Linked DNA regions of Mus musculus. The protein of the gene in region 1 purifies or fractionates together with the protein of each later gene. This does not show direct contact. Links are inferred from orthologs where the notes say so. Each region holds a gene or a part of one and is shown in the gene's direction. Other genes may lie near its edges.

What was found.
Region 2: the proteins of Sap30 (region 1) and Mta2 purify together in Homo sapiens (affinity purification with mass spectrometry; 3 studies listed by BioGRID, with this or other methods). This does not show direct contact. The link is inferred for Mus musculus from reciprocal best matches to the Homo sapiens genes SAP30 and MTA2.
Region 3: the proteins of Sap30 (region 1) and Brms1 purify together in Homo sapiens (affinity purification with mass spectrometry; 3 studies listed by BioGRID and IntAct, with this or other methods). This does not show direct contact. The link is inferred for Mus musculus from reciprocal best matches to the Homo sapiens genes SAP30 and BRMS1.
Region 4: the proteins of Sap30 (region 1) and Sinhcaf purify together in Homo sapiens (affinity purification with mass spectrometry; 4 studies listed by BioGRID and IntAct, counting the BioPlex papers as one, with this or other methods). This does not show direct contact. The link is inferred for Mus musculus from reciprocal best matches to the Homo sapiens genes SAP30 and SINHCAF.

The regions. Positions count from the first base shown.
Region 1 is NC_000074.6:57,481,452-57,486,110, reverse strand, and holds the end of Sap30 (histone deacetylase complex subunit SAP30), read left to right. Parts: intron 1-475; coding exon 476-601; intron 602-970; coding exon 971-1,069; intron 1,070-3,060; coding exon 3,061-3,183; 3' UTR 3,184-3,409; downstream 3,410-4,659. UniProt on the Homo sapiens protein: Involved in the functional recruitment of the Sin3-histone deacetylase complex (HDAC) to a specific subset of N-CoR corepressor complexes. Capable of transcription repression by N-CoR.
Region 2 is NC_000085.6:8,944,042-8,949,541, forward strand, and holds part of Mta2 (metastasis-associated protein MTA2), read left to right. Parts: coding exon 1-65; intron 66-1,714; coding exon 1,715-1,832; intron 1,833-1,964; coding exon 1,965-2,028; intron 2,029-2,225; coding exon 2,226-2,343; intron 2,344-2,606; coding exon 2,607-2,709; intron 2,710-2,995; coding exon 2,996-3,095; intron 3,096-3,210; coding exon 3,211-3,399; intron 3,400-3,483; coding exon 3,484-3,558; intron 3,559-3,685; coding exon 3,686-3,744; intron 3,745-3,983; coding exon 3,984-4,081; intron 4,082-4,215; coding exon 4,216-4,355; intron 4,356-4,909; coding exon 4,910-5,138; intron 5,139-5,500. UniProt on the Homo sapiens protein: May function as a transcriptional coregulator. Acts as a component of the histone deacetylase NuRD complex which participates in the remodeling of chromatin.
Region 3 is NC_000085.6:5,039,274-5,045,322, forward strand, and holds the start of Brms1 (breast cancer metastasis-suppressor 1 homolog), read left to right. Parts: upstream 1-2,089; 5' UTR 2,090-2,217; exon of another isoform or gene 2,218-2,338; intron 2,339-6,049. Other genes in the region: B4gat1 (beta-1,4-glucuronyltransferase 1), read left to right, coding at 1-759, 1,034-1,225. UniProt on the Homo sapiens protein: Transcriptional repressor. Down-regulates transcription activation by NF-kappa-B by promoting the deacetylation of RELA at 'Lys-310'. Promotes HDAC1 binding to promoter regions.
Region 4 is NC_000072.6:148,943,036-148,949,029, reverse strand, and holds the start of Sinhcaf (SIN3-HDAC complex-associated factor), read left to right. Parts: upstream 1-2,559; 5' UTR 2,560-2,738; exon of another isoform or gene 2,739-4,441; intron 4,442-5,994. UniProt on the Homo sapiens protein: Subunit of the Sin3 deacetylase complex (Sin3/HDAC), this subunit is important for the repression of genes encoding components of the TGF-beta signaling pathway.

The DNA.
Region 1 (4,659 bases):
GCATACTTTGTACCTGTAGAATTTCACTATCTAACAGATCAATCAGAAAGCATGTACCTACGAGTAATATAATGCTGCTCTCAAGCTAGAGAAAATACAAGGACAAATTTGTGGGCAATGCCACCTCTCCCTTTTAAGTTAAAATCAGCAGGAGCTAACTTATTTAGGTCACCTTCCCTGCAATTTGATGACAAGACCCAGAGAATTGGAATTTTTCTTCCTTTCCTGCCTGCCTGCCTTCTCCAAGATACTACCCGCCCGCCCACCGCTTCCAATTCCTCCCCTCCCCCATTTCCTTAACAGTATCGCCAGATTGCTAATGTTACAACATTTTAATAGTGGAAAGAAACATTGCATCTTCTGAACAGTGGCCTGTTAAGATGATTTTTAGTCAGCCACCTGGGCCTATGCATTTTACTAATACTTAGCTGCAGTTTTTCTGGACTCACAGTCTTTGAAAATTTTTCCTTTACAGGCAAGGCATCTTTACATTTGTGACTATCATAAGAACTTAATTCAGAGCGTTCGGAACAGAAGGAAGAGGAAAGGAAGCGATGATGATGGGGGAGACTCGCCTGTTCAGGACATCGACACTCCAGAGGTAGATGGCAGGCTTTTCCCCATGTTATATGTAAATCATAAGCATGCTGGCAATCCCAACACCATTCTGTAAATATTTGAGCTCTTCTTTAACTGTTTAAAGCATCTGAAAAATCTCAAAAGTTATATACAGTCAGTGAAGATGTATTTATACTAATATTAAATCTCAGACGACATTCTTACAGCTCTTGACATACAACTTCCTCTTTTGTTTCTCCGGAAGTTTACAATATGTATCCCCCAAAGATGGAACTGTTTAATAAAGTACAGGTCTGAGTGTGTAAATGAAGTCATTGTGTGAAGTGTCATAATACAGATCAATGATATCTTTTCAACAGAGTGAACTAACTCATCTATTTTTTTTTTCTAGGTTGATTTGTACCAATTACAAGTAAATACACTTAGAAGATACAAAAGACACTTCAAGCTTCCAACCAGACCAGGTCTAAATAAAGCACAACTTGTTGAGGTATATATAAATAAGCTTTATACTGTTTAAACAATCCTGTTCACACCAACAAGGTATCATTAAGTGATGATGAAATAGATGAATGTAGTATATTAAATAGTATATTGCATGTAGTAAAGTAAAAGTTAATAGGTGTATTGTGGAATGTAGTTGTTTAGAAACATCTATCTGCCACCTAGGAAAGCTCTCCAGTGAGTGCTCAGTGGATTACATTCAGAGTATATACAGTGTCTTTTAATGTTGATTTTTCAGAGTAAGCAATGAGAATTTTTTAATCATTGTTCTAGAATCTTGTTTTAAAGGGATGGACTATACATGTGGATTGGAATATAAATGGAATATTTCCATTGAGGGATGGAAAATAAATAAGCTTACAAGTATTTGTTAGAATGTAATTTTCAAAGTTTCTGCAGGTGAGCCCTGAAACAGGATTTCCCTTGCTTTCTAATTTTACTTTGAGATACACTTGCCTTTGTTAGTAGTTGTTTTTAAGTAAAGGATACTTTCTTTACATCAAGAGAAAGAACAAAAATAAGGCTTTATGTTAAAGTTAAAGTTTGCTTGGTATGGGACTTCAGTTCCTTTGGTATGTTTTGGAAGCTAGTTTTGTGTGTGTGTTGAAGTAATAAAGCCACAAAAATCTGTGAACTTTTAAAATACAGATTTAAATAATTATACTTTATATCTAAAGCAAACATTTCCACTGAGTAGACAGATCAAAATATGTATGTATGCATCAACACATATATATTTATGTGAGTGTTCTTATATTCTTCAGCATGACATTAGTAGTTAGCCTACATTTCCAATGTGTATAAATAAATGATAAATATGAGTTAGAATTTTTTTAGAAAGCTCTATAACATTAAAATTCAGTATGCTAACTAGCCAAATTTTCTTCTATATTTCTTGCCTAGGCAACAAAACTATTTTTCTTTAAATTTATTTCAAAGCTATCATCCTTTTTCTGCTGCACAGTACATATATATAGACATTCCCTACTATAATGAAAATATAATAGACACTAGTGTAATTATCCCTATTCTATAACAAATAGCCAAGAATTGATACAAAGTTGTATTTAAATATAGAACTCAAATCTCAAGCTCTTTTTTTGTTTTGTTTTATTTTGTTTTGTTTTCCAAGACAGGCTTTTTCTGTTTAGCCCTGACTGTCCTGGAACTCACTTTGTAGACCAGGCTGGCCTCTAACTCAGAAACCCACCTGCCTCTGCCTCCCAAGTGCTGGGATTAAAAGTGTGCGACACCACTGCCCGGCTAAATCTCAAGCTCTTAAAATCAGGTCTTATAAACCAGTTGTAGTTCAGTGGATTCTAGAAAAAGGCAGTCTTGAGTCTGAGCATGCGTAGTATTAGCAGCTCAGTTTCTTATCTGTTTATTCTGATGTACATGTTAGAACTGTGCAGTAAAAGACAGGAAAACAGTCCAACATCCTTCTAGCTCCTTGAGGTTTCCATTCTTAAATTTTATTCATAAAAAATTTACAAGAAACTTAAGAGTTAATATCAGTTGTACCAATGGTATTTATGGTACAGTTTGTTACCAAGAATTTTTTTTCCTTATATTACTCTTTTTCTATGAATACAGTCTAAGCCCTCCCTCATATGATGGACATTAGTTTTTTTGTTTTATTTCATTAATATTTAATGTTTAAGAATATGTAGTTTGCAAACTAAAGTTTAAAAGGAAAATACTTATAACAAGTGCACATTAATTAAGTAGACCAAAGGGGGTAAAATACTCAAAGAGTGTATTAATTGTGGAGACTAACGGATCCTTTGAAGTCAGGCTGTCTTTTGTTTATAATATCTTGTTTTTATGTGCTTTGGAGCTTGTTAATATTTTGTTAAGACAGATTAATCTTTAAAAGTATCTTGTGGTCACACAGCACTTTGGCAAAGTTGTATCTTACTCAGCTCACAGCATCTGCTACATCTAACCTTTAATTTGTCCATTTTTTTTAATTTGTAGATAGTTGGTTGCCACTTTAAGTCTATTCCAGTGAACGAAAAAGACACCTTAACATGTTTCATCTACTCAGTGAGGAACGACAAGAACAAATCGGATCTCAAGGCCGACAGTGGTGTTCACTAGGAGAGATGCTGTTCACACTAGCCCATAGATGTCTGCCTGGAAAGAATGTTTACTGGTTTTCAGATGTAGAAATGTTCTTGTGTATTTTTTCTACCGAGGATTTACTTTGACTTTTTTTTTTTTTTTAATGTTGTTGTCATTTTTGATTCTAATAATTAGTTGGAAACTCATAAACTGAGCTTCCTAGATTACACATATTTTAAATAAAGGTTATTACTATTATAGCTGCTTCAGCCTGTTTATTTTATGAAACTTTGTTTTTGTGTTAAACTTTTTGGGACTGGTATTAAGATTTCAGATAAAGGTCATTTTGTAAGCTTTTCTTACAAATTCCAAGTAATTAAAGGTAAAGCAGGAATGACAGACATGACCCCCTCACCTTCCCTAGGTGGATTTGATTTGCAATTAAGCATTCTTGTTTTTGTTTTGTTTTGTTTCTCCGTGTAACCCTGGATGCCCTGGAATTCACTCTGCACACCAGATTGGCCTCACACTCAGAGATCCTCCTGCCTCTGCCTCCTGAATGCTGGGGTTAGAGGCATGCACCACCGCCACCAGGCTAGCATTATTTGTAAAGTGCTTTGTGATGTATGTTAGCAAATTTGAAAATTAGACTTCCATTGATTTTTTTCAACCACTTTTAAATTTCCCCTTATGTATTGGTATTCTTCCTTGGAGACCTATGCAGAAACAAAGAATTGGTTTTGTGCCCTTCTTTTTCCAAACACATACACCCCAACTTCCTAGCAAAGTCAAGCATGGTGCTTGCTGAAAGTGGCCATGAGGACTGGAGTTAATTACTTCTTCAGACTGATGTGATATAAACATAGAAATGAACTCACACTCTGCTGTTGGCTTCGCACATCCAAACCGATGGTAATAAAACTGGTGTGTTGTGATTGTTTATAATCCCAGCATCCTGGAGGCTGAGGCAGGGGGAGCACAAGTTAGGGGCCAACCACGCTACATAGCAAACCTTGTCTCAAAATGAAACCATAACTTGTCTGAGGTTGGAGAAGTCAGGGTGTATAATGAACTCATTGTTTAAGGGTTGGTATTGCTTTATATTTACCTGGGCTTCATTCCATCAGTGCTTTATTTGTAGTGTCTTTTTCTCTTGGAATTATATTGCTTTGCTAACAGCTTAGCATCACACATCAGGGTCTTAGCTTGTCACGTCAAAAATGAAAGCAGCTCCAGGAAAATGTCCTAAGGATGCTTTGCAAACTTCAGGCTGGAAATGGGTAAGACAGCAATGTAGCTCAGACTTCTTCAAGGTGAAGGTTTGAACCCGTGACGTCTTGGCTGTAGGAAGCTGTCCTGTGTTGTAGCAAGGTGAACAGCGGCACTCATGACATTGATCTGTAAGTGCCAGTAGCTCTGAGATGTAATGCTGAAGATTACCTCTAGCCGCTGCCAAAGGACTCCAGCAGAGGAACACAGCTGCAGTACTGCTTCGTTAAGGAGGGGAGTCTA
Region 2 (5,500 bases), on another chromosome or scaffold:
TGTCTGTCTTTTCCGGCGAAGGGATATTTCTAGTAGCCTCAACAGCTTGGCTGACAGTAATGCTCGTGAGTGTCTTCATTCCTTACCCATCTCCCTTCCCCAGGATCTGAGGACTAGACATGTTCCTGCAGGTGTTTCCCCTGGCAGCATGCCCAAGGGAGGGTGTGAGTTTGGGGGGGGGTGGGAAGTGCCTGGTCTGCGGAGGGAGGCCTGTTGTTACACGTTGGGGTTGGAAGCAGGGCGGGCAGACCATGATAAGGAAAGCCAAAATGAGGCTTATGTGTGTGAGTGGAGAGATATTTAGATAGGAAATGAAAAGAGCTTTAGAGAAGCAGGCACTCGGGGACATTTTGGGTACTTTGGGACAGTGGTTAGTGAGTGATGGCCAAGGTGAAGAGGAAGATACTGTTTTGAGAAGTCTGCATAACAGAGAGGCTTATGCTGTAGTCTGGAGGCGATGCCAAAACATTAATAGAGATGATAAGCTAGGAGCAGTTCTCTTGGACTTCCCTGCCTTCACCATTTTTCCTCTCCATTCCAGTTAGTGTCATTTTTACTTATTTTTGCTTTGTCTGCATTTTCTCTATGATCTTTATATTGTAATTTTTTTTCACTTAGTTTTATCTTTTTTCTTTCCTTTTTTTTTTTTTTTTTTCTTTGTCAGGGTTTCTCTGTGTAGCCCTGGCTGTCCTGGAACTCACTCTGTAAATCAGGCTGGCCTTGAACATAGAAATCTACCTGCCTCTGCCTCCCTGGTGCTGGGATTAAAGGCGTGTGCCAGCACTACCCGCATCACTTAGTTTTCTTTTAACTCCCTTTTTCCCTCCTAGATTCTTTTTCAGGCTGCAGTCATGAAAGGGTTAATGAACTGGGCCTACCAAGTTTCCTGGCCCTTTGGGGTTTCCGGCTCCATCTGGCAGGGGCTGACCTTGGCCTTATCCAATCAGAAGGGGTAGGGGTGTGGTTCTTTTTGCCCTACCTCTGGGTTTTCCTAGAGCACAGAGAGACACGGACACCCCCACCCCAAATCTGTACCCCCATTTTTCAGGGGAACAATGCACCGATGAGCATGTGCCTGAGGTTTCTGTCTTCTACTTTGGTTGGCACTTAGCCAGGTTAACTGTTTCTACGGAGATTTCAGTGCAGGCCTCTTGGTGCCTCTTGGTGAGGAAGGTGTTGGCACTGGTTTCAGAGTTGCCCTTCTTGAAAGCCCACAAACTATTATTAGCCAAGTAGAAAGAGAAGGAGCATTAGGTTGCATGTGATGTTTCAGACACAGCAAGGAGTCCTGAAGTATGAAGAGGAGCTGGTAAATAAACAGCGACCATGTGTGCTATTTTTACTTCTTCTTAACTGGATTTTAGGACCTCGGACTGGTTGTGCAAGAAAGAGCTAAATATGATGTCACACTGTATTATGGCTCTGTTTGTGCTTTCTGCGTGTTGGCAGCTAGGGTTGGGTGCATTTCTGTGGTATCCTTATACTCTCACAGTATAAGGATGGGATAATTCCTTTGACGGAATTAAAGAGAGGATGGAACATCTACACTGAGGTGTAAGGCCGAAAGGGGGGGCTGGTAGGATAAGAGTGAGCTGCCCGAGGAAAGCAGTGCTGGGCAGCAGCTGAGGTAGGCTCTCCTTTACCAGACTAGCTAGCTGGCTAAGGTACCTGTTTCTGAATTAGTTTATGACTTGGTTTTTCCTCACTATTCTAGGGGAGTTTGAGGAGGAATCAAAACAGCCAGGGGTCTCCGAGCAGCAGAGACATCAACTGAAGCACCGAGAGCTTTTTCTTTCTCGGCAGTTTGAATCATTACCAGCCACCCACATAAGGTATAGGACGATCAGGGTCACTGTGGTCTATGTGCCCTTGTTTAGAAGATGGAGAGAAGGGGGTGGTGTATTGGAGATGGCAGGTAAGGAGGGCTGCTCATCCAGGACTTTTGGGTTTGTCCTTTTTCTTAGGGGGAAGTGCAGCGTGACTCTCTTGAACGAGACAGACATCTTAAACCAGTATCTAGACAAGGAGGTGAGGAGCTGTTGGGATAAGAGGGAGGTGAGAGAATGTTGCCCCTAAAGGCAAGTGAGGTGGTAAAGGGGCCACGGACCTCACAGCCGTGTGTGTGTGTGTGTGTGTGTGTCTGTGTGTCTGTGTGTGTCTGTGTCTGGAGAGACCTTACTGTCCATGCAGATTCCTTCCCACTAACCTCCTCTCTTCCTCTTCAGGACTGCTTTTTTTACTCACTGGTGTTTGATCCTGTGCAGAAGACACTTCTGGCTGATCAAGGGGAGATCAGAGTTGGTTGCAAATTCCAAGCTGAGATCCCAGATCGTTTGGCAGAGGGTAAGCAACAGAACAAGAAGTGCTTGAACATGAAAGTTTCTGTTGATAGCTTGATTTGGGGTACCAGTGTGGAATCTGCTAGGTGTTGTGTTGTGGCTCTGACAGGGTGAGACTTAGGAACATGAGAGAGACAAGTGGGCACAGCTGGGAGGGGAGTTCTGAGGTCTGATAGACTCCAAGCAGAGCAGAGGAAAAAGAGCCATTGTGAGTGACTATGAGTTATTTCCCTCTCTCCCTCCGTGGTGATTCTGTTGTTTCCTCAGGAGAATCAGATAATCGAAACCAACAGAAGATGGAGATGAAAGTCTGGGACCCAGACAACCCTCTCACAGACCGGCAGATTGATCAGTTTCTCGTGGTGGCCCGGTGAGGGTGGGTGGATCAGGAAGGTGGGCTGGGGAGGAATGGACTGAGTTCTGCGTCTCATCCAATTTCTTTCTTTCTTTCTTTCTTTCTTTCTTTCTTTCTTTCTTTCTTTCTTTCTTTCTCTCTCTCTCTCTCTCTCTCTCTCTCTCTCTTTCTTTCTTTCTTTTTTTTTTTTTTTAAAGTGGGCTTTGTTTTAGGCCTGGGCATTTTCTTTTTCTAATTAGTTCCTGAACCTGCTTGAATTTTGAAGGGGAGAACCCTTCTTGACTTCTCAATCTCTCTTTAGAGCTGTGGGAACCTTCGCGAGAGCCCTAGACTGCAGCAGCTCAATTCGGCAGCCAAGCTTGCACATGAGTGCAGCTGCTGCGTCCCGAGATATCACTCTGGTAAGTGCCAGCTGATAGATAGTTGGGCGTGTTGAGGCAGGAGAGGAGGGCGGGAGTCCTGAAGAAGGTGCTTAAAGAGTAGCAAGTCCTTAGCTTTGTTCTATATTTTTGGTAGTTCCATGCCATGGATACCTTGCAAAGGAATGGCTATGACTTGGCCAAGGCTATGTCAACCCTAGTACCACAGGGAGGCCCGGTGCTCTGTCGGGATGAGATGGAGGAATGGTCTGCTTCTGAAGCCATGCTGTTTGAAGAGGCTCTGGAGAAGTACGGGAAGGATTTCAATGATATCCGCCAGGACTTTGTAAGTGAACAGGACTAGGAGGAGGGAGAACGACGATGGAGCTAGGATCACATGCCATCTCATCCTGTTTGCTGTTCTTTTTAGCTACCCTGGAAGTCACTTGCAAGCATAGTCCAGTTTTATTACATGTGGAAAACCACAGACCGGTATATTCAGCAGGTATGGGTCAGGCTGGCTGGGAGGCTGGACCAGAGGCTATCTGCTTACCTCTCTGCTGTTTCTTTTGTTTGATTTCAATTTGTACTGAGATGCTCTGAATTTCTTTCTGTTTTTCTCCTTCTTACAGAAAAGATTGAAAGCTGCTGAAGCAGACAGCAAACTGAAACAGGTCTACATCCCCACTTAGTAAGTGTGGCAGAAAGGGAGATGGTGTCTTCCTTAATGATTGGGGGTAACCAGGAAGCAGAAGCAATTGTAGAAGCTGTAGCTCAGTGAGAAGCATGGGCTTAGTATGCACAAGGCTGTAGGCTTAATCCCCAGAACTCCAGAGAGTCGGAAATAGAAAGTAAAGTGGTGGTAAGAGAGACACAAGTGGGTTGTTTTCTTAACTAGCTTCTGTCTTCTCCTCTTGTTTCGTTCATTAGTACCAAGCCAAACCCTAACCAGATCATTTCTGTGGGTTCAAAACCTGGCATGAATGGGGCTGGATTCCAGAAGGGCCTGACTTGTGAGAGCTGCCACAGTGAGTTCCAAGGGGGGACAGGGTTGCTGGGGATAGGTGGTCCTAGGGTGGCTTATTCTCTGTCCTGGGAATTTGAGGATCTTGGGTGGCATATTTCCTGCCAGCAAATTTCCCTTCTCTCTCTACTCTTGTAGCCACACAGTCTGCCCAGTGGTATGCCTGGGGACCCCCTAACATGCAGTGCCGACTTTGTGCTTCCTGTTGGATTTATTGGAAGAAATACGGGGGACTGAAGACCCCTACCCAACTTGAAGGGGCTGCTCGGGGCACCACAGTAAGAATCAGTGGGTGGGAACTTGGCATGGTGACTGAGGCAGGTGGGTGAGTTAGAGGCCAGTCTGGTATACAAAGCAAGCTCCAGGTTAGCTGGGGCTACATACTTAGATATTGTCTCAACAAATAGAAAAGAATCACTGATGCCAGGCGTGGTGGCGCACGCCTTTAATCCCAGCACTCGGGAGGCAGAGGCAGGCGAATTTCTGAGTTTGAGGCCAGCCTGGTCTACAAAGTGAGTTCCAGGACAGCCAGGGCTACACAGAGAAACCCTGTCTCGAAAAAACAAACAAACAAAAAAGAATAACTGCAAGAACACGTGGGGATGGGGAGAGTAGTGGTCCTATGAGTGCTTTAGGCAAAGGCCAGAAAACCTTTGACCTCTTCTTCCATGGAGACACTCAAATGCGTAGGAGCACCTGCTAAGTATTGGGAAGCCAGGATGGTTGGGCGGGGTTTCACTGAAGAGGTCAGGTAGAAACAGTTGGCTGTCTGCAGGAGACAGAGGACAGAATTGCACTGTTGATTTCTCTTTTTCATATGTCATTCCTCTAGGAGCCACACTCAAGAGGTCATTTATCCAGACCTGAAGCCCAAAGTCTCTCCCCCTATACAACCAGTGCTAACCGGGCCAAGTTGCTGGCTAAGAACAGGCAAACTTTCTTGCTCCAGACCACAAAGCTAACTCGTCTAGCCAGACGAATGTGCCGAGATCTATTACAGCCAAGGAGGGCTGCCCGAAGACCCTATGCACCTATCAATGCCAATGCCATCAAGGCAGAGTGTAAGGACTGGAGTACTAGCAATGAGTCCAAAGTTGCTCTGGCCAGAGCCCAGTGACTGTAGGGATACTAGGCCACAGCGGGTGTTTAGAGATCTTGGCCACAGAAGAGAACAGTGAAGTTCCTTCAGAAACTTTGATTTGCCATGTCTGGTGGTGCATGCCTAGAATGTAAGCCCTCAGGCTGAGACAGGATATAGCTACCTAGGTCCTATTAGACTGGGCTATGTAATGAGCTCTGGGCTAGCCTGGATTACTTACTAGGACCCAGTCTCAAAAACCAAGGCTAGGCATGCGTATAACCCAAGCATTGGAGGGGTGGAGTCAGGACAATAATAGTTCTAGGCCAGCTGGTACTTCACAGT
Region 3 (6,049 bases), on another chromosome or scaffold:
CATGCCAGTGTGGACAACCTACTACACCTGTCCGGACTTCTGGAGCGCTGGGAGGGTCCGCTGTCCGTTTCAGTGTTCGCGGCCACCAAAGAGGAGGCGCAGCTGGCCACGGTGCTGGCCTACGCGCTGAGTAGCCACTGCCCCGAGATGCGCGCCAGGGTCGCCATGCACCTCGTGTGCCCCTCGCGCTATGAGGCTGCTGTGCCCGACCCCCGAGAACCTGGAGAGTTTGCCCTGCTGCGGTCCTGCCAAGAGGTCTTTGACAAGCTAGCCAGGGTGGCCCAGCCCGGGATTAATTATGCACTAGGGACCAACACCTCCTATCCCAATAACCTGTTAAGGAATCTGGCTCGGGAAGAGGCCAACTACGCCCTGGTGATTGATGTGGACATGGTGCCCAGCGAAGGGCTGTGGAGAGGCCTGAGGGAAATGTTGGATCAGAGCAATCACTGGGATGGCACAGCCCTGGTGGTGCCTGCATTTGAAATCCGCCGGTCCCGCCGAATGCCGATGAACAAGAACGAGCTGGTGCAGCTCTATCAGGTGGGCGAAGTCCGGCCCTTCTATTATGGGCTGTGCACGCCTTGCCATGCGCCCACCAACTACTCCCGCTGGGTCAACCTGCCAGAGGAGAGCTTGCTGAGACCTGCCTACGTGGTGCCCTGGAGGGACCCCTGGGAACCATTTTATGTGGCTGGAGGAAAGGTGCCCACATTTGACGAACGCTTTCGGCAGTATGGTTTCAATCGAATCAGCCAGGTACTTAAAAGGGAGAGGGCATGTAGGACTAAGACTGGAGGCGTGTCAGGGGTGAAGTGGCCATTGGTGGAAAGGAGGCAGTGAAGCAAGAAGAAAGTGGTTGGATGATGGAGAATTGAGGACAGTGGAGTGGAACTTTAGGGATGATCATGTGGGCCCTGGGGATATCATTAAGTTATTGTGATTAAATCACTGTGACCTCTCCCTGTCTCTCTCCCTCTCTTCCCTCTCCCCTCCTCTATCTCTCCCTCCCCCCCCCCCGCCCCTTTTCCAGGCTTGTGAGCTGCACGTGGCAGGGTTTAATTTTGAGGTGCTGAACGAAGGTTTTCTGGTTCATAAGGGATTCAAGGAGGCATTGAAGTTCCATCCCCAAAAGGAGGCTGAAAACCAGCGCAATAAGATCCTTTACCGCCAGTTCAAACAGGAGTTGAAGGCTAGGTACCCCAACTCTCCCCACCGATGCTGAGTCCTTGTCTTCCATGGTCTGAGAATTGTCAGTATCTGGCTCCAGGCCTGACTGGGGTAAGAAACATGCCTCCACTTTACAGAGGTAGCTATGGGTTTGGAACACTGGACTTGACTATGGGGTGCTGGGAGTCAAGTCTCAGCTTTACCACTAACTAGCTGTGTGGCCTTGAGCAAATACTATTACTTCTCTGAGCCTCCGTTACGCCGTCTGTAAAAAGGGAGGTGAAAATACCTACCTCACAGAACTGTTGGCTCAGATGAGACGCTGTATGTGTAAACATCCTGTAAACTTCGTACAAATGTGAAGTATTATTAATATTGCTACAGTGTTATTATGATATTGTTACTATTAACCATGTTGGGTGGATAGCGGCAGAGCAAAAAGTTTGAATGGGCTAGAGGTGGGAAGCTTGAGTGTTTAATAAAATGAGGCTTTTGGAAAGAAAGATGAAAACGTAGAATGTAGTGCTAAGAACGTTTCCCGTTCTCTCATGCCTTCGCCCTCCGCCCTCCGAGATCCCTGAAGGAGGAAAGAGATAAAGGTTAAAGTCCCAGATCTGTGCCCTCCAGTAGGTTGGGCTGCTCATTTGCCTTCGGATGACATTATGTAAATAAACGAATGTCACACCCACAGCTGGCTCTGTTACTCTCCTAAGCCGAGGGGTGGTGGGCCGGAGCACCGTGTTAGACGGCGGTGGACCCAAGGACACCGACCACAATGCTAGGACAGGCTGAAGGCCTGGGTTACTGGGGGCCAGTTGCTATGGAGACCCGTCCGCCGTATCCCGGCATGCCTGGACACCAGTGGTTCCATTGTAAGCGCCACAAATGGGCGCCTCCTGATGACGCACACGGAAGCGTCGACACCTCCTGGAGAAAGAGAATCCTGCGCAGCACTGTTCCGGAGATCAACGGCGGCGGCGTTCACACCCTGGGTCGGACAGCTCTCCGGGAGTCCTGGACGTGAGGCCGGAGGCCCCAGTGTCTGCGGTGCGTATGGCCACGCCCGGCGCTGGGTTGGGCTTTCCGGATCGGAGCTAAAGCAGAGACTTAACCGGCCCGACTCGCGCGCTGGCCTGAGAGGAGCCCGCGGTTCCGAGGGTGGATCGAGGTGGGATAGTTCCTTGCGCCGCAGAGTTTGTCCTCTGTGTCTGTAGGGAGGGGTCTGCTTTCCCTGGAGGTTTGCTGTGGAGGTGCTTATACACCGCGCGTTTACCGTGTGCCTCTTCCACTCCCTACAACCCTCAGCAATGGTATATCCCCTATTTGTACCCGGGTTAAGGAGGGACGATTGGTTGTGACTTCATTTAACGAAGTCAGGATCAGAGTCAGCTGGAGGAAGGAGATCCTTGAATTCATCCTGCGTCTTAGAAAGAGTATATACAACGGTGAAAAGGAATTGCCAGTGTGGAGGGTCTGAGGCGTGAAAAGGGGAACAGTGAGGCTGTTTTGGAGATCTGGATTTTCAGAGCAGGAGGAAATGCTACTAAACTCTCCTGCAGGTCCGGCGCTATAATTACTTGCATGGGTGTGAAGGAGCGTTACTCCAAGTAGGGTTGCCAAGAAGGAAAAGCCAGTTTCTATACTGCAAAAGTTTATGTTGTTTAATTTGGGTTTAGAAATTCCCAGTCATCAAGTGAGCTGGCACTGCACTGGGCGAGTAGGACAGCCTGCTGCCCTGTCCTGATGAAACACCCACATTTCACTGGGTGGTCGGACATGAGACTGGGAGAATATGAGATAAAAAACAAAGAAACCTTTAATCCCAGCACTAGGGAGGCAGAGGCAGGCAGATTTCTGAGTTCGAGGCCAGCCTGGTCTACAGAGTGAGTTCCAGGACAGCCAGGGCTACACAGAGAAACCCTGTCTCGAAAAAAACAAAACAAAAAAAAACTTCCTGGGGGAAGGAGTTATGCCTTCCCCATGGGAAAGACTTACAGAGCAGCAACCAGAGATGTAGAAATCACACCAGTGTGAACTAGAAGCATCTACATCCAAGATGACCTATTCTCTCTGGGGGCCTGGCAGTATCAATCTCTCGTTGTCTCCTTCCTTCTGAAAATACCTTCCACCCTAACTCTTGGATTTTCAATCTGTTCTGCAGAGGTTTCTCCTCCTGCCTCCTTTGTTGACCTTGGGAATTCCAACAGAGGCCCCTTCTCACAGTTCCGCCTGAAAAGTCAGACTGCACAAAGCCTAAATAACTTGCCGTATGTAGCTAGAGGAGCCTGGGTCTAGTGGAAGTTCACATGCCTGTGTCCCTGGTCCCTTTTCTCACTTCTAGGTCTTTGTACTTGTTTTTCACTCTGCCTGGAATGTTCCATCTCAGGCGGCCTGGTCCTCACCTAGTCTGTCTCCCTCTGGAAGCTGTCACTGTAGCAGCAAGCTCCAGCTCCTGTGTAGACACCTCCCATAACACCTTAATTTGACTCTCTTCACACCATTATAAAGGTCTGCTTCTTTGCGTTTCTCCCAGAAATTTGTCATTTCCTCGAGGCCAAAGGCTGTCATAGCTATACTGTAGCATCTGCCACAGTCCACGGTGACTGTTGGTGCCTGGCACACTTTAGGTGCTTAGTAAATACTGGATAAGTAGGAAGAAAGGTAGGGGAGGGGCTTAGTGTTCACTGTTTCTGAAAGGTTACCTAAGGCAAGCACTGGCAAATGTTGGTGTTTGCTACAAGGAAATTGATTCGTAATTCTGCCGCAGTGGTTTTAGTGTGAGTGCTGGGTATCCAAACACTGAAAGAGGAGGAGGTGAAAGTCAGAATAGCAAGTGTGCGCAAGGCCCAGAGAACTACAGAAAATTAACTAAACGGGGCTGTTTCATATTTCTGCATTCATTCTTTTACCTACTCATTTGGATTTGACACAGCCTCACCAGCTATTGCTAGCCTGAAACTAACTGTATATCAGGCTGGGCTTGAATTTGTAGTAATCCCCCTGCCTCCTGAATGCTAAGATAACAGGCCTGTACCACCTCACTTGGCTTTATTTTTTTATTTGTGTTTGTTTTTTCCAGAGAGATCTAGTCTAGGTGCCTCTTCAGACAGCAATCTACCACTGACCTGTACCCCCAGACATACTGCTTTTGTGTCTTTTTAAGACAGAGCTTCGCTGTCTAACCCAGAATGGCCTCCTGCGTCAGCGTGTGGATTATGTATATGAACCTCATCAGGCTCTCTCTGCTTTTTAGTTTTTTTTTTCTCTCCAGTACTGGGAATTGAGACCTAGAATTGAATTCTAGAAACACCTCGAACTCAGAAATCCGCCTGCCTCTGCCTGTGCTGGGATTAAAGGCGTGCGCCACCACGCCCGGCCTTCTTTTCCTTTTTTTAAAAGATTTGTTTATTTTATGTAAATGAGAACACTGTAGCTGTCTTCAGACACACCAGAAGAGGGCATTGGATCCCATTACAGATGGTTGTGAGCTACCATGTGATTGCTGGGAATTGAACTCAGGGCCTCCGGAAGAGCAGTCAGTGTCCTCTTACCTGCTGAGCCGCCTCTCCAGCCCCTCCTGTTTTTCCTCAGGAAAACCCTGAGCTTCCGCATCTGAACTTCCACAGAGGAAGGTGCTTCCTGTTCACGTCCTTAGGAGTGCTAGGGGCTTAGGATATTGCTCAGTGGTAGTTGGGGCTCAGCATTTATGGGAATCTGAGTTCAATCCTTAGTCCTTCACCAAAACAAAATAAAAACCTGAGTCAGGGCCATTTATGAAGAAGGGGATTTATCTGAGTGGAGAGAGGCAAGGCTGTAATCCTGTTGCAGCTTGGACAACTTAGTGAGACCAAGTCTCAAAAAAGGCTGTGAGCATCGCTAAATGCTGGCTTTCCCAGCATGCTTAAGAATCTGAGTTTACTCGGGAGGCAGAGGCAGGCAAATTTCTGAGTTCAAGGCCAGCCTGGTCTACAGAGTGAGTTCCAGGACAGCCAGGGCTATACAGAGAAACCCTGTCTCGAAGGGGGAAAAAAAAAAGAATCTGAGTTTAGCTGAGCAGTAATGATGCATTCCTCTAACCCCAGCATTCCAGAGGCAGAGGCAGGCAGATCTCTGTGAGTCGAGGCCAGCCTGGTCTGCAGAGGAATTTCAGGCCAGCCAGGGCTACACAGAAAAACCCTGTCTTGGAGAAAAAAAAAAAACCAAAAACAAAACAACAACAAAAACCAACCAAACAAAAAAGAATCTGTTTAATCCCCAGTATCAAAAGTTTTTCTAGTGGACGTTGGTGTTCCTAGAGAAATGGTTCAGCAATAAGAGCACTGGCTGGTCTTCCAGTTCCATTCCCAACCCCAACTTTGTAACTCAAAACCGGCTGTAATTTCGTTTCTAAGAAGTCTGATGCTTCCTTTGCAGGCACCGCACACACAGTGCAAAGACAGAGGTGCAGGCAAAACACTCACACACATAATGTTGAAGTTATATATGTAAAATATGCATACTTCTCAGCGCCCTGGGAAGACAAGGCTGTGGAGCTTGTGCCTGACAAGAGCCTTTTGCTAGTGCCCCTCATTTAGAAAGGTGGAAGGGAAAGACTCAAGTTTTCTCAGGAACCCTCTGCTGATGAAGGCCATCAGTACACTTGAGGGCAGACCTCATTGTCTTTCAAAGGCCCCATCTTGGGCTAACCAAATGGTTCAGCAGGTAAAAGCAGCTGCCACCAGTGTTCAGGCCAGGAACCCACATGGTAGGAGAGAGCTGACTCGTACAAGCTGTCTCAGACCTCCATATATGCTTTGTGGTCTGTGTGTGTGTGTGTGTGTGTGTGTGTGTGTGTGTGTGGTGTGTGTGTGTGTGTGTGTGTGGTGTGTGTGGTGTGTGT
Region 4 (5,994 bases), on another chromosome or scaffold:
AGTTCATTTGGGTGGAGACACTCTTGGGTTGTTGGTCTTGGGTTCTATAAGAAAGCAGGCTATGTGAAGCAAGCCAGTAAGCAGCATCCTTCTACTGCCTGTGCTTCTTATCTTATTTTTGAGATAGGATATCACTATGTAGTCTTGGCTGGCTGGACTGGAACTTGCTTTGTAGACCAGGCTGGCTTTAAACTCACAGAGATCCATCTGCCTCAGCCTCTAGAGTGCTAGAACTCCAAGTGTGTACCATTATACCTACACTAAAGTATTATCTTTACTTGACAGCAGTGGTTTGGGGAGAATGCAGGCATTTCCTATGATGTAAACAATACTGTACCTAATAGTGTCAAATTATTTGTCTTGCTTTGATTCCTTGCTAGTTGCACATTATAGTAACTTAAGTAGCAAAATAGTGTAATTGTTTTGTGTGAGGTTATAAAGTCTTTAGTTTTTGTTTTTTGTTTTTTGTTTTTTTTTTGGTTTTTTTGAGACAGGGTTTCTCTGTATAGCCCTGGCTGTCCTGGAACTCACTTTTTTAGACCAGGCTGGCCTCGAACTCAGAAATCTGCCTGCCTCTGCCTCCCTGAGTGCTGGGATTAAAGGCGTGTGCCACCAAGGCTGGCTGGAAAAAAAATTCTTTTTTTTTTTTTTTTTTTTTTTTTTTTTTTTTTTTTTAAACTTTTTTTTTTTTTTTAAGATTTATTTATTTATTATATGTAAGTACACAGTAGCTGTCTTCAGACCCTCCAGAAGAGGGAGTCAGATCTCATTAGGGATGGTTGTGAGCCACCATGTGGTTGCTGGGATTTGAACTTCGGACCTTCGGAAGAGCAGTCGGGTGCTCTTACCCACTGAGCCATCTCACCAGCCCGGAAAAAAAATTCTTAAAGCTGTAAAATTTTATTACCTAAGGACAAAGATGTCAATTAAAGTTCACTATAAGCCCCCAAACTCCTTTTAGGTCAAATGCAAAAACTGTAAGGTATTTTAACTTGCAATAAACCAATAGGAAAATTTAAAAATTCAAGTATATTTTATAAGCAGTTACTAAGAATCCATCATGTGGTGAGCATTGTTTTAGGTGCCTGAATACAAACATAAGGGAAAAATCTTTGCCTTTAAGAGTTGTATTTTAGTGACAGTTGTCAGGTTTATTTATTTTACTCCTTTACAGGAAGAGTGTTACAGAACTTTAAAAAAAAAAAACGTTGAGGTCTTCACAAGTAGGTTTAAACTGTGTTTTAGGAATTGGCTATTGAATTAAAGTAGCATTTCAGAAATATTTGTTTGAATCTGCATACAGCAAAAGCAGTGAATCTTGTCTTTTTTTTTTTTGTTTGTTTTTATAGTTGGTTTCCATACTTTGCAGCAAAGGACCAGTATCAAGTTTTGGTGAAAAAACATTCTCTTTCCTACCTATCCTCCCAGGATCACTGAACCAGGTGTTATGGGTCGCTGGGCTTAAGGAGTATCACAATTATATTTTCATTTCTTACTTTTTCATCTGAAAAGTTACTTAAGCGTCTTCCTCCTTTTTCCTCCCTCCTCATTGTCTGGAACCTCCCTATTCTTTGTTTTCTCTAGATTACTCCCTTTCTTCTACAATCACCTCCCTTTTAGGTTTTCTTTAGAAACATTTTGATGTTCGATTATCGTATATTCCACAAGGAATAGTGTGTATTTTGCTTCCACTTTCTCCCCTCACAAGTGGTTTTTCTGGGCAGAGGAGCTCTTCACGGCTGGAGGATTTGTGTGTTTTCAGAAAGTGGCACCATTCCCACGGTAATTACCACCATGAAATTCGCAGAGGCTTGAAAACTTCAGTTCAAGTGAGCAAAGCAAAACCACTCAGTTATGGGTTGGGTCATGTTTGAGAGGGACAAGACGGAATTACTGAATGGACCATTTCAAAATGCGACTTTATTAAACAATTTATCATCAAAGCCCCAAAGAACGAAAACTCTGTTGGAGAATTGAAATTTTAATTTGTGTGTGCATGTGGTGCGCGGGGCGAATTTGCAGAAGTTGGTTATTGCCTTCAGGTGATCAGACTTGAAAGTACCAGTTGAGCAGTCTCACAAGCCAGGCAGGCCCTGAAAGACAAAATGTAAAGCTCACCTTCAAACAGAGTTTAGGAAAGGCAGGAACAAGTACAAACTGAGTGGTTCCACGACAACTTTCTCTGCCACCTCAAGCCAGAAACTGGGCATAGGTGCGCGAATGCTGCAAAAGCAGCTTCCAGAACTTTCCAAGCTCAGTAGCTTCCTAAGGGGTGCCATTCGGTGAGGACAACGCTCACCTTTACACCTTTCGCGTCCTGCCACGCCCCCGCGTCGCCTCCTTTTCCCCCGGGGGCTGGGGAGGGCGTTTGTTTACGTGACGTTGCGGAGTAGGCAGGACCCGCCCCCGTCCCCGCGGGCCGCCGCGTTTCCCGCGCCTCGCCGCTTCTCCCCTTAAAAGGACAATAGAGGCCGCGGGAACGCGCGCGGACGCCCTGCCCTCTCCCCGCCCAGCCCGCGGCGCGCACGCGCCCGTATGCAAATCAGCTCGATTCAAGAGAATTTGGTCCCGGGAGCCGCGCCTGCGCAGAGGGAAAGCGGAATCTATACCTCCGTTCGCGGTAGCAACTGAAGAACTGCTGGAGACAATCTTTCTGGACTCGGCGCTGGCGGAGGGAGTGCTTGCAGGAGGTTGGCCTGGTGCAGTTTGCACCGTGGGGACGCTGCTGCGCGTGGAAGGTGAGTGATTCTAGTCCGGACATCGGTGCAAAACTGTCTCCGAGGTTTTGTTTTCTGTGATTTTTTTTTTTTCTTTCCTCCCTTTACCTCCCCCGCCTCCTCCGTCCTTCCCATACACAAACACACAGGAAGTTTTGTCTTGGAGATGGCATTGCGGGGAGCGCTGCCCTCGTGCTCTCCGGACTCCAGATTCTTTTGTACAGAGGCGTTGGAGATGCGCTTCTTAATTGAGGAGGATATTTGAGGTAAACCGAAAGTCAGGGTGTGGGGAAAGTGAGTGCAGCGTGGAAACGAACGAGCTGCGGCGGACTTGCATCCACGCTGAAAGTGACAATGACTTTTCTAGGTCGTAGTGTTTCCTGCAGACCCGGAGAGCAGGGTCGGGGTCGCAGATCCCGTGTGGGCTCTGCTCTGGCCAGGGGCTTGGGCTCCGCGTGCACCCGCGTGTTGCGCTACCCCGGCGCTCGCGACGGTGTTTGCACGCGGGTGAACAACAAAGCCGGAGCTCGGAAACTAACTTGCCAGTTCCTGGAGCCGGCGGCCACACAGGCTGAAGGCAGCTGGTGAGGGCCAGCGCCGGGATGGCGCGACGCACGCGGCGTGGCGTTGTTGGAGAAGTCCGCAGGGACGCGGCTGCGACAATGAGCGCGCAGCACGCGGTCTTTGCACTCGGCCGGTGCCGAGTGGTCTCTGCAGCCCAAAGTTCGCTGTCCGTCTGGTCACCTGTAGCGTGGGTGCGGGCGACACGGGAGGGGTGGCCGTGGCCCGCGGCACCAAACAGTGCGGATGAAGGCGGCGGCGCGGTCCGCTGCTTGAGGCACCCAACTCTTTTTTTTTTTTTTTTTTTCCCTTTTTGTTGTGTGTGCTTCACCTGACAAGCCACGTGCTTAGGGCCGCGACCGTGCTACATCTCAGTGTCCAGCTCGGAGTGAGCCGCGGGCTGCGGTCGCCGTCGGGGCTGTCGGGAGCAGGACAATGTGATTTCCTGGTGATGGCGTCTTGCCAGTTTCCAAAGCACAGCGAAAGTCGCCAACTCGCAGCATATGCACGGCGGCGGGGACCTCTGGGCGTTTCTCATCCGGGACTCCGCAAAAGTTTGGCCCCAGGGACCAGTGGCTCAGGATACCCGAGCTCGCGTGGGTCCCCGGGCGCGGGTCCGGGTCGCCCCGACGTCGCCGATGCCGCCGGACAACAAAGGGCCGCGTGTGCCCGAGCGGCGCGGGCCGGGCGGGGCGCGGGGCGGCTTTTGTCCCTTAGGTCCTCTCGGAAACTTCAGCGGCGGCTCAGCGAGGCTGTGTCCGTGGGGGCGCCTCGGCCTGCGGGTCACCCATGCGGAGCGACGGAGCGCTGCTCGGCGGGACGCACGCGTGGCCGGGGCTCCGAGGCACGGGAGGCCGCGTCTGGGAGGTCCGTGCATCCGCCTTTGAAGTGGAACTGTTGCCATGTTTGAATTACGTCAGGCCGAGCGTGCGGAGCGGCCCGGGAGCAGAGGCGCGGCCTTCGGGCGGCGCCGGCGGGGCGCGGGCCGTTGTTCCAGCGCAGGTGAGGGCGGCGGATGGCGCGTGGTGCCCGGGGACCCCGGAGCGCTGGGCTCCCTCCAGGAGTGGAGCTCCGCGCCCTACCCAGGACCTCCGACTACACGCGGGGAAGTTTCGGGGCGCCGGCTCTTGCCCCTCTTGGAAGTGGAGACTGAGGAACTGGGGGTGCGTGCAGCCTTTGTGTGTTTACACGTGGGGCGACCGGCGAGGCGCAGGGCAGGTTGGGTTGGGCGGCTTTTAAGACGGAGCAGTTCTGGTAACCAGCACCCCAGTCCGCCTCTTGTTATTTTTCTTCTCACCTTTCCTTATTGCAGGTGAAGAATGACTACGAGCCAGACGTGCACCGTGTCCCCCCTCCCCCTCCATGTTAGGAGTTCGTTTCAAGTAGGCTCTTGGTCTTCTCTTAATGCTTTCTAAAGAAGGATCCGGCAACTTTTTTAGTGAGAGGTGGACGTAAAACTTGTTTCTAGCAGTGTCCGGAAAACATCTGCTTTTGAACTGAAGTTTGTCAGACTTGAAAATCATTTTAATGGTTTTTGTGCTGCAAAACTGAACGCGAAAGTCTGGGGTTCGTTTTTTGAGTCCCCGCAAAGCATAAATGCATTTAAAGTATTCTGAGGATGTTTTGTGTTTTGACCTTAAAGTATGCAGGACTCAGATAAATCTTAGATAACCTTGAGAACTGCTGCATCTGGGGAGTAGGGCCTTTCCGAGATAAAGGATGCTGGGAGAAGTTGCCAGTGTAGGGAGCCCTTGCTAGTTTCACAATTCCTGGGAACTGGGACTGACCTTCTACTTACCCTCTTACACTTTTTTCAAGCTAACTTTTTGGTATGTGGCTCCAGGCATAGCTCAAAAATTATGCTCGTTTGACACATGGATGCTTCTTTGGTATTTGGGGTTTGCTTGCAGTCTAGACATCCAGCCCAGCAACACCATATCTGTTGCGACTTTCACAATTAATCCTGTGTTTCAGTTAGCTTGTTTTCATCTAGATGTGGCCTTGACTGGGAAATAATAATTTTTGAAGTGAATAGAGAGTGTGTCAAGAAAATTAAAAACCTTGGATATTACAACCTTGGCTTTCCTTTGGGTGACTCCAGGGACATGTGAAAATAACATGAGGTACTTTGCAAACATTGTTTTGTTTTTAAGTAGACTACTTACTGCAAGACTTCAGCTTCCTAGGAAAGTCTATACACACATGTAGAACTAAATGATTCTGTTATTATCAAATGATGTTTCTAAGAGAGATTTGAATGAGTTAAGAGAGAAAGAAAAGCAAGGTCTTCACTGCCTTCTTTTATTTTTGTGGGTGGCTGGAGATTTTAAAGAACATCTGTGTGTGTGTATCTTCATATATGAGGCCAGGTGACTATTGGGGATAGTCACCTCAACCACATGAATTTAGGGATCAAATTCAGGTAGGTGGTCAGGCTTCATTGGCTGAGTCATCTTGCCAGCCCTGTTTTAAATGCCCACCCTCAAAACTTGCTATGCTTGTTTTGAACCCCATGATATAGCACCTGTTAGATAAGTGTTGTACCACTGAGCTGCCTCCACAGGTATAAAATGCCACCCCCCTCCCCAAGACAGGGGTTCCATTGTAGCCTTGGTTGTCCTACAAATCACTTTTTAGACCAGACTGGTCTTGAATTTGGAGATCCACCTGCCTCTGCCTCTGCCTTCCAAATGCTTGGGATTAAAGGCCCATGCCA